Linked DNA regions of Elephas maximus indicus. The protein of the gene in region 1 purifies or fractionates together with the protein of each later gene. This does not show direct contact. Links are inferred from orthologs where the notes say so. Each region holds a gene or a part of one and is shown on either strand. Other genes may lie near its edges.

Region 1 (7,454 bases):
GAGGTGTTAACTGCTCTTTGCAATTATTATTCAAGGTTCCCATTTTGTTTTTTCAGTATTCTAACAACCATATAATCAGTTCTCTATTTTAAATGCCCTGGGTTGAAATACCTAATATAGTTTCTCATTTCCTCACTTGTATATCCCATTTTTTCTACAATAAAGTTCCTAGCAAGGAATCAAGGATTACTATTAAGATAAAAACAAAAAACCAAATCCAATGCCATCGAGTCGATTCCAACTCATAGCGACCCCATAGTGTTTCCAAGGAGCACCTGGTGGATTCGAACTGCCATCCTTTTGGTTAGCAGCTGTAGCACTTAACCACTACACCACCAGGGTTTCCACTATTAAGATAATAACAATTAATTAAAACACCTGTGTTAGCCAGCTGAGCTTGCTAGTCATTTCTGACACCAAAATGTTCAATTTCCATTTTACCTTTTTTGCCTTTTCTAACAACTTTACAGTCATGTTGCCAGTCCCAGGTCCAACTTCCAGGACCACATCAGTTGGTCTTAAGGCAGCCTAAAAGCAAGCATAACATTAGCTCTTCCGGCACATCTGAACACACAGTTTAATTTACACCTGAACATCTTTGCTCAACTGGACCAATAAGCAACATCATGATAAAAAGAGAAAATACTGAAGTTGTCAAGGATTTAATTTTATTGGGATCCATAATCAACACCCATGGAAGCAGTAGTCAAAAAATCAAAAGACACACTGCATTGGGCAAATCTGCTGCAAAAGACCTCTTTAAAGTGTTAAAAAGCAAACACATCACTTCGAGGACTAAGGTGAGCCTGACCCAAGCCATGGTGTTTTCAATCGCCTTATATGCATGTGAAAGCTGGACAATGAATAAGGAAGACTGAAGAAGAATTAATGCCTTTGAATTATGGCGGTGGCAAAGAATATCGAATATACCATGGACTACCAGAAGAATGAACAAATCTGTCTTGGAAGAAGTACAGCCAGAATGCTCCTTAGAAGCAAGGATGGCGAGACTTTTGTCTCACGTACTTTGGACATGTTATCAGGAGAGACAGGTCCCTGGAGAAGGACCTCATGCTTGATAAGGCAGAGGGTCAGTGAAAAAGAGGGAGACCCTTGACAAGATAGACTGACACAGTGGCTGTAACAATGGGCTGAAATGTAGCAATGACTATGAGGATGGTGCAGGACTGGGCAGTGTTTCGTTCTGTTGTACACTGGGTCGCTATGACTCAACTGACTGGACAGCACCTAACAACAACATATTTGTTTATAAGCTCTCAGGAAATCTTTGTCTACATTTTTAGGAGCTTTCTTCATGATTTTTGTGCTTCACAAAATTAGCTCATAAACATTCGGTGTAAGTGGAAATCTAACACCTCTCTTCAACTTTAGAAGTCAGAACAGCAGTTCTTTCTGGGATTGTCATTCCACTTTCTACTTTGGAAGTGACTCCTATAGCACTTTCTCACTGACTTTGTTCATATTACACAACTTCGAATGGGAAAGGATTGTATATGATTACCTTGCCTGAGAATCACAGTGTTGGACCAGGAATTCTCAACCCATGTATGGATTTCAGGGGATGCAGGAATACCCAGAAATTGTACTTAAAACTGGTATATGTACACTGCTGCAATATTCTGGGTCCAGAGCTTTCATCAGGAAATGCTCAAGAATCCATGAGTAAAACAGGTTAAAAAGCAAGGCTAACGCTCATTTTGCAAATGATACTAGATCAGAATGAGATCACAGCTAACGCTCATTTTGCAAATGATACTAGATCAGAATGAGATCACAGAACTATGTAATGCTCTTTCTATAGCTTCAAGATGCTTCCCAGTTAATGTAAACTTTGCAACCACAAAAGTAATTTGCACCACTTATATCTCACATCCTAGCTCCCAGTCATCCATAACAAAAAGAAGTCACCAATGACCCATACAGAAGGCATATTTCAAATAATTTATATATGACGTTGGATTGTACCACATAAGCTTTTCTGGGGAACAGTCTTCCTAATGAGCAAACAGAAACCGACAGTGACATCTGGTGACTAGGACAAAAAGAATAAAAAAAAATAGCAACCTGTAATTCAACAAGTACAAAGGTCCTGGTAATGAAGTGGATAATCTACAGAAAGAAAAGAACTTGGGGACAGAAGAAACCCACACCTACAGATTGAAGCACATCATGCAGAAGACAGCATGTGAATCCTACATAAGTCTTCACCGATTCAACAAATATTTACAGAGCATTTACAGCAGGCATGCTCTCTGCGCTTAAGTATTCCTCAAAGCAAAATTACTAACTCAACTCTCTTTCCTCTTTCACACCCACCTTATCGATAATGCTGTTAACAATGAGGGGATTTTTCAAAATGTGTTGCCCAATCCCAGTGTTGAACATGAGTCCTGGAACAACAACAACAACAAAAAAACACAAAATAGCTTTAATTTCCCAACCTGATTAGACATTAGACCGTCCTGGAGAAGAAAGCAGAAAGCAGAATGGGATGGGGGAAGACTTCTGCAACAACCAGAGACACCAAACGTCGATCTTGGAGCTGGGACTGACATAGTGCTTTAAGCCCATCCCTTCAGCGGACAAGGCCGAAGGCGGCGTGGGGGCCTGCGAGCCGGCCGCGTTCCGGGAGCCCCAGACTTCCGCGCTCACGGGAGCGGCCCCGGCTCGGGTTAACGTGTGATCAGCCCCGCTGGAACGCCCGGCCCACGCCCAGACCCCCTCCCGGCTGCCCGGACCTCCGGTGCTCTTCAGCTCCTGGCGCTGTTCCTGCCGCTTCCGGCGCCGGACGCTCGCCCCCGACTTGACTTTCGGCATCTCTGCGGGGTGCGGGCTCCGAGGCCCGAGAAGGTCAGGAGGACCAAAGCCGGCAGCCCGAGCCACGGCACCACATGGTACTCGCCACGCCCCGCCACACGCGCCACTCCTGGCCACGAGGGGGAAGGGCGAGCACCCCGCGAGGTGAGCCCCGGGCTCCGCCCCCAGGCAAGAGGGCGGACCTTGGAGCCCAATGGCTGCCGGGAATTGTAGTCACGAGCCGGAGGAAAGTCTACCCTCACCGATTCCGGCAGTTTGGATTGGCTGTCTAGTTTAGAGTCAGGGGCGGCGTTTCTCGTCCCTAACCCCACAGGAGTCACTTAAGCACCGCAGATGGCGGTGTAAGTTCCACGTTGTGGAGATTTAAATTATATGCGATTAGGCCCGCGATTGCTTTATCAGGCCAGGTTCCGGGATCGCGGGAATTTAAAACAGGTATTTTCCCTCTGGTTTCCCCGCAGGTCCCCAAAAAACACGGTGGGGTGGAAAACCCAGGATCCTTTGGAGCGGTGAATTTCTACACTGCTAGCGTTTTGGAAAGGACCTCTGAGAATGGAATTAGCTTTTTGTTTCACTAGGGCTACTGGTTGCTTTACTTCCTTTATTGTCACGTCATTCATTTCCTACACATTTACTGAGCTCCGGGTGTGTATCAGACACTGCTGGATGCTGGGGATTCAAAGTTAAACAAGAAAATGCCTTCCTCAAAGTTCCGTTGAGAGAGAGAGGCCAAAAAAAGTGCAAAATGCTGTAAATGTACTAATAGATATTAGGTATGCGTTGGGTATTGCTGTAGGACATTGTACTCGACTGTAAGCTCCAGGAACATGAAGTCCACATCTGTTTTGACTGTCAGTGTAATGACTTTTAGTTTCTAATTTTTCTAGTGTACCCTATTGCCTTTAAGAAACAGTTTCTTCCTATCATTACTATGACTCTTCCCTGTGCTATTAATTGCCTGAAGTTCAAAGCCTTGGTTTTACTCTGTCATTTCTTTGTGGTAATTCTAAATCAGGAAAAAACTCATAACCTAGTAGCATCTTCAACTACCTATTTCATTCCATTAATCATGTATTTATTCCACAACTTCTGGAGAGTCAACAGTGTGCCAAGCAGTGAGTCAAATACTGGAAATAAAAAGATGAACATAAAATGATCTCTGCTGGCCCTAACCGGTTTTAACAGGTTTTCAACACCATCTTGGCACTTTAAGTGATTAGGCCATTAGGATGTGGAAACAGGGGTATCATTGTTGATGTCAGATGGATCCTGGCTGAAAGCAGAAAATACCAGAAAGATGTTTACCTGTGTTTTATTGACTATGCAAAGGCATTGGACTTCGTGGATTATAATAAGCTATGGATAATATTGCAAAGAAAGGGAATTCCAGAACACTTAATTGTGCTCATGAAGAACCTGTACATAGATCAAGAGGCAGTTGTTCAAACAGAACAAGGGGATGCTGTGTGGTTTAAAGTCAGGAAAGGTGTCAGGGTTGTATCCTTTCACCATACCTATTCAATCTGTATGCTGAGCAAATAAACTGAGAAGCTGGACTATATGAAGAAGAATGGGGCATCAGGATTGGAGGAAGACTCGTTGACAACCTGCGTTATGCAGATGACACCACCTTGCTTACAGAAAGTTAAGAGGACTTGGGGCACTTACCGATGAAGATTGAAGACCACAGCCTTCAGTATGGATTACACCGCAACATAAAGAAAACAAAAATTCTCAGAAACTGGACCAATAAGCAACATCGTGATCAACATAGAAAAGATTGAAGTTGTCAAGGATTTCATTTTATTTGGATGCACAATCAACGCCCAAGGAAGCAGCAGTCAGGAAATCAAAAGACGCATTGCATTGGGCAAATCTGCTGCAAAAGACCTCTTTAAAATGTTGAAAAGCAAAGATGTCACATTGAGGACTAAGGTGCGCCTGACCCAAGCCATGGTGTTTTCAATTGCCTCCTATGCATTCGAAAGCTGGACGATGAATAATGAGGACTGAAGAAGAATTGATGCCTCTGAATTGTGGCATTGGTGAAGAATATTGAATATACCATGGACTGCCAGATGAAGGAATAAATATGTCTTGGAAGAAGTATAGCCAGAATGCTTCTTAGAAGCATGGATGGCAAGACTACGTCTCACATATTTTGGACATGTTGTCAGGAAGGATCAGTCCCTAGAGAAGAACATCATGCTTGGTAAAGTAGAGGGCCAGCAAAAATAGGAAGACCCTCAACAAGATGGATTGATACAGTGGCTGCAACAATGGGCTCAAGCATAACAGTGATTGTGAGAATGGCGCAGGACCAGGCAGTGTTTCTTTCTGTTGTACATAGGGTCACTATGAGTTGGAAACAACTCGATGGCACCTAATGACAACAAAACAGTAGCTCATTAAGTGCAAAATACATATAAGCACCCTGCCTCTGTGTAGAGACTTAACACGCTAACGAAGGAAAATTGACCTCTTCCTCCATCCCAGGGAATCAAATCCTTGTCTAAAGAAAAATGCATAGTCATCCCCAGGCTCTGGCCACCTTCTCAAAGATCGATTCTGAATATTTATTATAAATTTACATTTCCTTGTCTGCTCTCTGTAAAAGCCCCCCGCCTCAAGCTAACTACGAGTATTCTTGGAAGTGGCAGCACTGACTGTTCCTTTCCTTGCGCCACAAAATAAACGTACCTTTCTAATCTCCCACCTTGGCCTCTTGTTTATTTGCTGTAACAAATCACACCAAGCAAAACCTGGGGTTGCACCCAGCAACATCAATATAGGGAAATTGGTGTAGTGACTGAGATATCTTATTATTGTTATTTTTTCTGTTAGTATCAAAGCAGCATTCCAGAAGTGAAACAATATTGGGTGCAGCATAGCTCCACAAGTCCAAGGGAATTGTGTGCTATTGGGATATGAGCTGCATTAAAGAAATGAGCTTTGGAAATTTATACTGGAATATATTTGAGTTGTTTTTGAAATTGTAATTATGAAAAATAATTTTTGGCTTTATGATTCATGTTTGTGTTCTTTTTAGTTAAAAATATTTATTTTTCACTTTGGGTATGCACAATCAATTCATTGCCATTCTTATAGATTTTTTTTTGGTAAAATATATTGTAAATTGAAAAAGAATTATAATAGCATTTGCTTTAGTAGAACGGGGTTACTTAAGCTCACAGCATGCTTGAAATGATAACATTTTAAATGTGCCAAGGAGCGTAACGTTGTTGTTGTTAGGTGCTGTCAGTCGGTTCCGACTCATAACAACTCTGTGCACAACAGAATGAAACACTGCCTGGTCCTGAGCCATCCTTTCTAGTTTCACATTGACTTACTGAACAGATTGAGGTAACGTTTGTTGTAAGGTGTATGTAACCTTAATCTTAACTGAGTGGTCTAAAGTGTTTAGATATTAAGCAGATTCCTTAGTAAGCCAAATTTTTGTCACTGAGGTGTTTGAGATATAACTTGATATTTAAAAGAAAAATCTTTGTTAAAATAACTTGAGTTTCACCTAGGATCTTGTTTTTAAGCCTTCATCCCCTATAGTTACCAACTCTGCATGTAGTAGGCCTCTAGAAATTAGTATGCTGCACTGACCCAACTTGATGGGACCTAAGTATCCACAGGGCTTGTTTCCAAAGGAAAATGTATCGGTTTGAGTTGCAAAATTTTGCTACTATATAGGTCATTGTAAAGGCAGTGTGAAAAGTAACCGGACCCAGAGTGTGATTGGAAGTGTAGTTCCCGCTGCGTCAAATGTTGTAATAAATACATTGAAGTTTAAAAAAGGGGCGTAATAGAGAATAAAAATAAAATTTTGTGAGCATCTTATATAAAATAGTTCCTTATAGATGTTTAATGTATTGAAAAGTCATAAAAACATTGAGAATGTTTAAATTTCACACTTTTAACACCAATTCATTAGCACTGAAATACCGTGTTCCTATGATTAAGGGGGTTTTATGATTAAGGGATATAATCCAGCTGGGCAAGATAAAATAAAATTGAAATCTAATATCAAGCCATTGGATTTGTTTAGAACAATTAAACATTATTGTTATTTAAATACTAAAATGATGTGCTGCTTTACAAAGCAGGACAATTTCAAAGAGTACCGGAAGACTTAATTTCTACTCTTCTGTCTAAATGTTAACAGAAAAATGTAATGAAATTTGGCTGGGAAAAATAATGCATTTTGAATATCATAAGCAACATTTTTCTATAAACATGTTCTAATTTTTTTTCAGGTCATCATAAATACTATCTTAAATTGGTGCAATTAATTAAGAAGAGTATAGCCTCTGTTTAATACCAGCATGAGTCTAAGCATTGTCAGTGAATATTAATGATAACTCAATATTCCAAAAGCACCTGTTAGATGCATGTTTTCATATCATTACCGTAAAATAATATATATGTTTCAAAATGTTTTTCAAACTTTACAAACCTAGCAAAACAAAAAATGTATTATGGTACTGAGAACTCTAAAATAGATTCTAGTTTTATATTGTGTTTTTCAGTTTTCAAAGCGCTTTCAAAAAAATTTGATTTTCAGTGAAACTCTGTGAAGTTGGTAGGGCAAGTAACCCAACCATGAT
Region 2 (7,199 bases), on another chromosome or scaffold:
CCCATGTGAGGCTTTTTTAAAAATCTCAATGAGTATCTCAGCTACTTATAAATAGTGTTTAAAAAGAAATCAAGAATTTTACATTTACTCTTGCAAATCTGAATAAATCTACAGGGCATATCTTCAATCTACAGGGCAGGTCACCATCTTACCTGCTTGTACTTCAAGCCATTATTTCCACCCCTTATTCTACTTCTCTGAAAAAGCTTTGTGTTCTATCGAATACTAAACTAACAATTTTTACAATGAAAAAGATAACAAGGCTGACAGCCAAGGCCCATTTAGAGGTTTGCAATACTTCCTTATACTCAATTGCAACCCAACTGGCAAAAGTAGCAGTATTTACAGTGCTGCCATTGATACCATTCGCTGCTGAAGAAACTAGTGGCCCAGTGGTAGCCCACTGCTGCTGCCCAGGTCTTTGGAGGAAATCAACTTATGTTAAAGCAGCAGTTACTGAACTGGAATTGAGAACAAAAGAGCAGTTATTGAAAAAGTATTATTACAATCTTTTGTCAGAATAGGGAATATACTTGTGTGCTAACGGAAAAACCCATTACTAAGTATTCAACTAGCCCAAATAGCTCACTTTACATAATGCTACAAAAAATGTAATTACTTTACCATAGAACCCTATTAGGACAATTCATGGGTAGTCTTACAAGTTTGAATTAACTAATTAGTCAAAAATTGGCATTAATTTTATATTCCTGGTAAAAACTTCCAACTTATATAAAAATTACTAAATCACTAAAACCTGTGAAATTATCAATACAACTGATGCTGTACTAAATGTTTAGCTGCCAGAATCTGAATACAGACCACATCTTACTTATATTTAACAAATTACTTAACCTTACTAAATTTTCTATATTCAACATACAGCACTGTTTTCTAACGTACTGGAACCAAAAATCACCGCATGAGAAAGTGGGCGGGAGGAAAAATAGCTTCACTTACAAGTATCAAGGCAAACCACTGTGTCATCAAAGTGTTCATCTTCTTCTTCAACAGGTGGCTGAGGAGATTTAGCCCTGAAAGAGAAATTGTCTCCTGATACAGCTTTTTCCATCAACGAATGATGAACAGGTGACAATTAAACTCGGTTAGCATCCTCTACCTGCTGTATTTGTTCTCTTCAATGTACTCAAAATATCCACGACCGTGATCTTCCCGAGGTCTTTTAACACCTCTCTTTTTATCTCCGCTTTTCTGTTCTGTTTTGCCGTCTCCTATAATACACGACACCTTATAAGAGGCCAAGGCGCAAAACAAAAAAACCTTTTCTATTTTGAAACGCCAAAAGGCTCGACTCTCCTGTTCTTTTTTAAAAAAAAAAACTTTAAATCGACAAACCAATTGTGAATTTCCAACAACAATCAGTGCAACAGGATTTGAGCTAGTGACGCAGTCTAGACAGCGCTCGTTTTGCCAGTCTACTCCGCGATTTTAGAGACAGCGCAGGGAAAACCTGCGCGGCGCAAGCCGAGAGCCCACGTGTACCCCGAAGAGAGTTCAGGAAGGGGGGAAGGGCCGGGCCTCCGCTCCCGCGGCCTCCCCTCCCCCACCCGGGCCCGCGCTCCTCGGCCGCTTTGTACTGATCTTCCGCCCGGCTCCGCCCGCCGGAAGTGACGTCACGCCAGGCCCCTGCGCTCCTTGCACAATACAGCGGCGAAGAGCCGCCAAAGCGCGCCCGCCCCAGGACCGCGGGCCTCTCCCCTCCCCCCGAGACATGTGCCCGCACCGCGCGCACGCACCGCGGCGGCGCCACCGAGGGCCGACGGGGCTCCCTGCCGCCGCCCGCCCGCTCCTCTCGCCCCCCCACCGGCGGCAGCTGCAGCTCCCGGCTCTCGAGCCACATAATGGAGGCGCTGTCGCCACCGTCACACACACCAAGGCCGAGGCCTCACGGCTAATCCGGGATTCCCCGCACCCCCCCCACCAAGCCAGCCACCAGCAGGCTCCGCGCCTCCCTGGCCCGACGCCCCCGCAGGGCTCCCTCCCCCTGGCGGGGCTCCGGCAGGCCTGGGGCACGGTCCCCACCCGCGCGGGCCTCCCGCCGCGCGCAACGTACAACGCAGCACTCACCCGCCGCCGGAGCCCCGGGGCGACCGCCGCCTCCGCCGCCTTCCGCCTTCTTCTTACCTCCCGCCTGCTGCTGGCCCTGCCTCGACCCGGGCGGCGCCACCGTCACCGCGAACAGCGAGGTGGGGCCGCTGCTCTTCCCCGCGGCCTCCTTGGCGGCCCCGCGCTGCTGCTGGGGCTGTTGCTGCGGCGTCGCCGGCGGTTGCGGCTGCTGCTCCCCGTGCCCGTTTTCGTCGCCCGCGGCTTCCTCCTCGTCTCCGAGCTCATCTTCCCCTTCCTGGAAACCCTGATCGTCGCCGTTCTCGTCTTCCGAGCCGGCCTCCTCCTCCATAGGGCCCGAGTCGGCCGCCCCCGCGGCCCCGTTCTCCTCCCCGAGCTCCATCTGGTCGCCATCCAGGGCGGCGATCCCTTCCTCCTCATCTTCCTCCTCCTCCTCCTCCTCGTCGCCGGCGGTCGCGGCCTCTTGCTCGAGGCCTGCTCCGGAGCGCCCGGCGGAATCCCCGCCCAGATCTAGGCTGCCGTTCCCGGGCTCCATGGCGGGGCGGCCCCCGGCCTCCTCGTCGTCCAGCGCGGCCTGGAGTCGCTCCATGAGTTCGGCCTTGAGGCCCTTGTCGGAAAGGCGCCGCTTCTTGAGCTCCTCTTTCAACTCCGACACCTTCAGCTTTTTTACATTAACAGGCGAGGAACTCATCGTGAGGACCCCGATTCACCGCTAGGTGCTGGCTCAAACTCGGCTCCGCGCACACGGCCACTAGTGGCGGCTGCTGCTGCTGCTCTTCGGCCCGGGCGGCGGCTGCGGCTGCGGCTGGAGGTGGGTTCGTGCTGCAGAGCGGACCCGCCTGGTGTCGAACGGCGCCAATTCCTTTCACCCAGTTCGCGAGGGAGACGCGGAGACTCGCCTGGCGCGAGCGAGCACGCAACGTCCTCTCGCAGGGGCGGCGCCGCGCACGTAATATAGCCGCCCCGCCCCCCCGCTTACGGTAGCGCTGCGCAGTAGGAAAGCCGGAGCGCGCCCGCGCCTTGGCCCCGCCCCATTACCGTACTTACCTCCCCGCCCCCACGCCGAATCCCGGGCCGAGAGCGCGGCGCAGGCCGCGCATTGCGCTTCCAATTGGGACTGAGCAAATGGAGGAAAAGGAAACCGCCTTTCAGTTAAACCGACCTGCTGCAAAACCTATTGGCCTTTCTAATTTTTTAGTGCCGATTTCCGTTTTGCTTTTTGCTTTTCCAGGCCGGAGGCTGCTTGTATCCAAATGTTTTCAGTCCTCAACTTGGCATTTTCAATTCAAATCCCCAACCTTTTTATCCTTCCATCTTAGATTTGCTTTCTTATATATTTCAACCGCTATTTGTTTAAAACTCCAAGTTTTATTTCGGTTTTGATTTGTACAACACAAATGAGCAATTGCTATATGCAGAGTCCCGCCCCCCCACGTCTAATTTTTTGCCTTGCGAATTGAATTTTAAATTCTGAAGGGCGAGGGCAGAGCCTTTCTTTTGTCTTGGTGCAGGCTTGGGAGATAGAAACTTGCTTTAAGAGCGCGGTCTTCTGTAATGTATGGCACACTTCACAGGCCTTTGCATGGGAGCTGTTCTCTTGGTTTTAATAGACACAGAATTTAACAAGTCCGAGAACTGCGTTTCTGAGTTTACCCACCAAAAAGACGGATATTCAACAATACGCTGACCAATTTAGGACCTGGTCATCAGTTATGAAATCCCAGTAGCCAACAATGAGGATGAAACCCAACCAGGTCGTGCACTTTTATTCCTACTGGACTAAAACTGGTCAATCGAATCATGCTGAAACTATAAAAGCTTATGAAAAATAAAGGGCTAAGATTTTGTTTAAAAAATAGACTTTCACTCTCGAAATCTGTTATTCTGTTGTATTTTAGAAATTTAATTTTTCTTTTTATTAAATTAAAGGTGTCACATGTCTTTGAAGTCTTGATAGGGGTACCAGAATTGAGATTTGTGATAGAGATGAACTTCAGAAACCGCAGAAAATCTGCGCAGTGACCAGCCAGTCTTCCATTATCTGACTAAGGAGATCAGTTATGCCAACTGTTAGGTGCTTTAGCTGGCATAAAAATGCGCCAATGTTAATTTGAAATTTGGAAGTATAGAAATGTGTACTTAACTTTCTCCCATAGGCTAGTGTGATTTCACTGATTAATAAATTTTCTTTTAAAAGTTTGTATTTTGGAGCTGTTAAGAAGTATGTACCTCACCATGCATGCACGGCTAAAGATAAAATATTAACATTTGTGAAATGATTTGAGTTGAAATTAATAAACAATGTACAGTACTGGTTATTCTCGTTTCAGGTTAACTGAGGTGGTGGGCATAGCCCCCAAAATAGACTTCCAAATAGTGCCAAAAACTCATTTTAGCCTTTGGTTATAATGTCCTTGAAGCTTATAAAAAAGGTACAAAATAGAATTTGAACTCTTTGTCCTTGTTCAAAAATAGGAAGAGAGCTACAGGAGGCTCACACATTCACACACTAATTAGCCCCTAATGAGTCAGGTAAATACAATTATTCTGGTGGTCTTTAAATTTTTTTTTTTTTTTTTTTAGATATTACTTGCATTTTTAGACATTAGTGATATGAAAACAATTTCCATTTAACTGGAAAAAACTAAATTACAAAAATAAAGTTCATATATCTAAATATAAGATTTATAATAGCCATTCTTGGTAGTAAATCAGTTGTAATAATAAACTATGAACTATACCTTTAAGTGCACACTAAAAGGTCCCCTGGCTTTATCTCCAAGAGGTTTGTAGACTTTTAGAGCTGGATGGAGCCTGGAGATCATCTTTACTCTGCTTATTCTACACACAAGGAAACTGCGGTCCCTGCTCCCACACCAATGCTGTTTCATATCATCGCACAGCCTTAGACAACACTTGAAAGGGTAATAGTTTTTCTAAATGCTCAAAAAAACATCAGCTTACTCTTCCTTTTTTACAAAAGGAAGAAATCTGCCATGAGATGTTTTTATTTTTCCACTGAAAGTACAAATAGTGACTTATTTTACTAATTGTTTTTGCTTCTTATGCTTTTAATACTATCATGATAGACCTGTTCTACAGAGACTAACAAAAGTTCAGGGTTGTTGTTGTTATTCTTCTTAGGTGCCATCGAGTCAGCTCCAACTCATAGCGACCCTCTGCACAACAGAATGAAAAACTGTCTAGTCCTGTGCCATCCTCACAATTGTTGCTATGCTTGAGCCCATTGTTGCAGCCACTGTGTTAATCCATCTCACGAAGGTCTTCCTCTTTTTTGTTGACCTTCTACCAAGCATGATGTCCTTCTCCAGGGACTGATCCTTCCTGATAACATGTCCAAAGTATGTGAGATGTAAGTCTTGCTGTCCTTCCTTCTAAGGAGCACTCTGGTTGTACTTCTTCCAAGACAAATTTGTTCCTTCTTTTGGCAGTTCAAGATATATTCAATATTCTTCATCAGCAACACAATTCAAAGGTGTCCATTCATCTTTGGTCTTCCTTAGCCATTGTCCAACTTTGCCATGCATATGAGGCGTTTGAAAACACCATGGCTTGGGTCAGGCGCACCTTAGTCCTCAAGGTGGCATTTTTGCTTTTTAATGCATTAAAGAGGTCTTTGCAGCAGATTTGCCCAATGCAATGCGTCTTTTGATTTCTTGACTGCTGCTTCCATGGGTGTTGATTGTGGATTCAAGTAAAATGAAATCCTTAACAACCTCAATCTTTTCTCCGTTTATCATGATGTTATTTATTGGTCCAATTGTGAAGACTTTTGTTTTCTTTATGTTGAGGTGCAATCCATACTGAAGGCTGTAGTCTTTGATCTTCATCAGTAAGTGCTTCAAGTCCTCTTCACTTTCAGCAGGCAAGGTTGTGTCACTTGGAGTCTTCCTCCAATCCTGATGCCCCATCCTTCTTCATATTGTTCAGCTTCTTGGATTATTTGCTCAGCACACAGATTGAATAGGTATGGTGAAAGGATACAGCCCTGATATATACCTTTCCTGACTTTAAACCACTCAGTATCCCCTTGTTCTGTTCAAAAGACTGCCTTTTGATCCATGTACAGATTCCTCATGAGCACAATTAAGTGTTCTGGAATTCCCAGTTCTCTGCAATGCTATTCAAAATTTGTTATGATCCACACAGGTGAATGCCTTAGCATAGTCAATAAAACACAGGTAAACATCTTTCTGGTATTCTGTGCTTTCAGCTAGGATCTATCTGACATCCACAATGATATCCCTGTTTCCGCGTCCTCTTCTAAATCTGGTTTGAATTTCTGGCAGTTCTTTGTAGATATGCAGCTGCAACCGCTTTTGAATGATCTTCAGAAAAATTTTGCTTGCATGTGATATTAATGATATTGTTTGATAATTTCCGCATTCGGTTGGATCACCTTTTTTTGGGAATAGGCATAAATATGGATCTCTTCCAGTTGATTGGCCAGGTACCTGTCTTCCAAATTCCTTGGCATAGAGGAGCAAGTGCTTCCAGCGCTGCATCCATTAGTTGAAACATCTCAGTTGGTATTCGGTCAGTTCCCAGAGGCTTGTTTTTCTCCAGTGCCTTCGGTGACATTTGGACTTCTTCCTTCAGTGATCGGTTCCTGATCATATGTTACCCCCTGAATTTCTGAGGGATCTATAAGGAACTTGAAATTCCCTCCTTTTGAAGTCCCAGAGCCTACCAAGAATACAGAGTGGAAGAGGGCACAAATTAACTCTCAGTAGCAAAAAGTGATTATCGAATTATCCATGGATAATAGGTCTATGAGAGGTCATTTCAAAGTTTGGGTGCTCGGAATATATAGCTTACATTTTGAGTTTGAATGAAAGAAAGAAATACAGGCTTTCTCCGCTATCCAAAAGGAGATTGTTCCTATGAAAATCTTTGGTAAGCCAAAACGGCATAAAACAAAGACACAATTACCATTAATTCATACAGGAAAAAATTTTGAGCATTCTCAGACCCAGTACATAACCTACCAAACCATACCAAGTAACCCATAAAACTTAAAACAACGCTGACATATAGTAAAAGCAGAAATGATAACATAAATACGCAGCCTGTATAAAATAAAAATAATGTAT

The links.
Region 2: the proteins of DIMT1 (region 1) and HNRNPU purify together in Homo sapiens (affinity purification with mass spectrometry; 3 studies listed by BioGRID and IntAct, with this or other methods). This does not show direct contact. The link is inferred for Elephas maximus indicus from reciprocal best matches to the Homo sapiens genes DIMT1 and HNRNPU.

What each region holds. Positions count from the first base shown.
Region 1 is NC_064820.1:66,944,632-66,952,085, forward strand, and holds the start of DIMT1 (probable dimethyladenosine transferase), read right to left. Parts: upstream 3,006-7,454; 5' UTR 2,839-3,005; coding exon 2,760-2,838; intron 2,748-2,759; exon of another isoform or gene 2,577-2,747; coding exon of another isoform or gene 2,463-2,576; intron 2,412-2,462; coding exon 2,338-2,411; intron 529-2,337; coding exon 442-528; intron 1-441. UniProt on the Homo sapiens protein: Specifically dimethylates two adjacent adenosines in the loop of a conserved hairpin near the 3'-end of 18S rRNA in the 40S particle.
Region 2 is NC_064842.1:19,264,613-19,271,811, reverse strand, and holds the start of HNRNPU (heterogeneous nuclear ribonucleoprotein U), read right to left. Parts: upstream 3,019-7,199; 5' UTR 2,777-3,018; coding exon 2,089-2,776; intron 1,233-2,088; coding exon 1,121-1,232; intron 1,035-1,120; coding exon 961-1,034; intron 1-960. UniProt on the Homo sapiens protein: DNA- and RNA-binding protein involved in several cellular processes such as nuclear chromatin organization, telomere-length regulation, transcription, mRNA alternative splicing and stability, Xist-mediated transcriptional silencing and mitotic cell progression.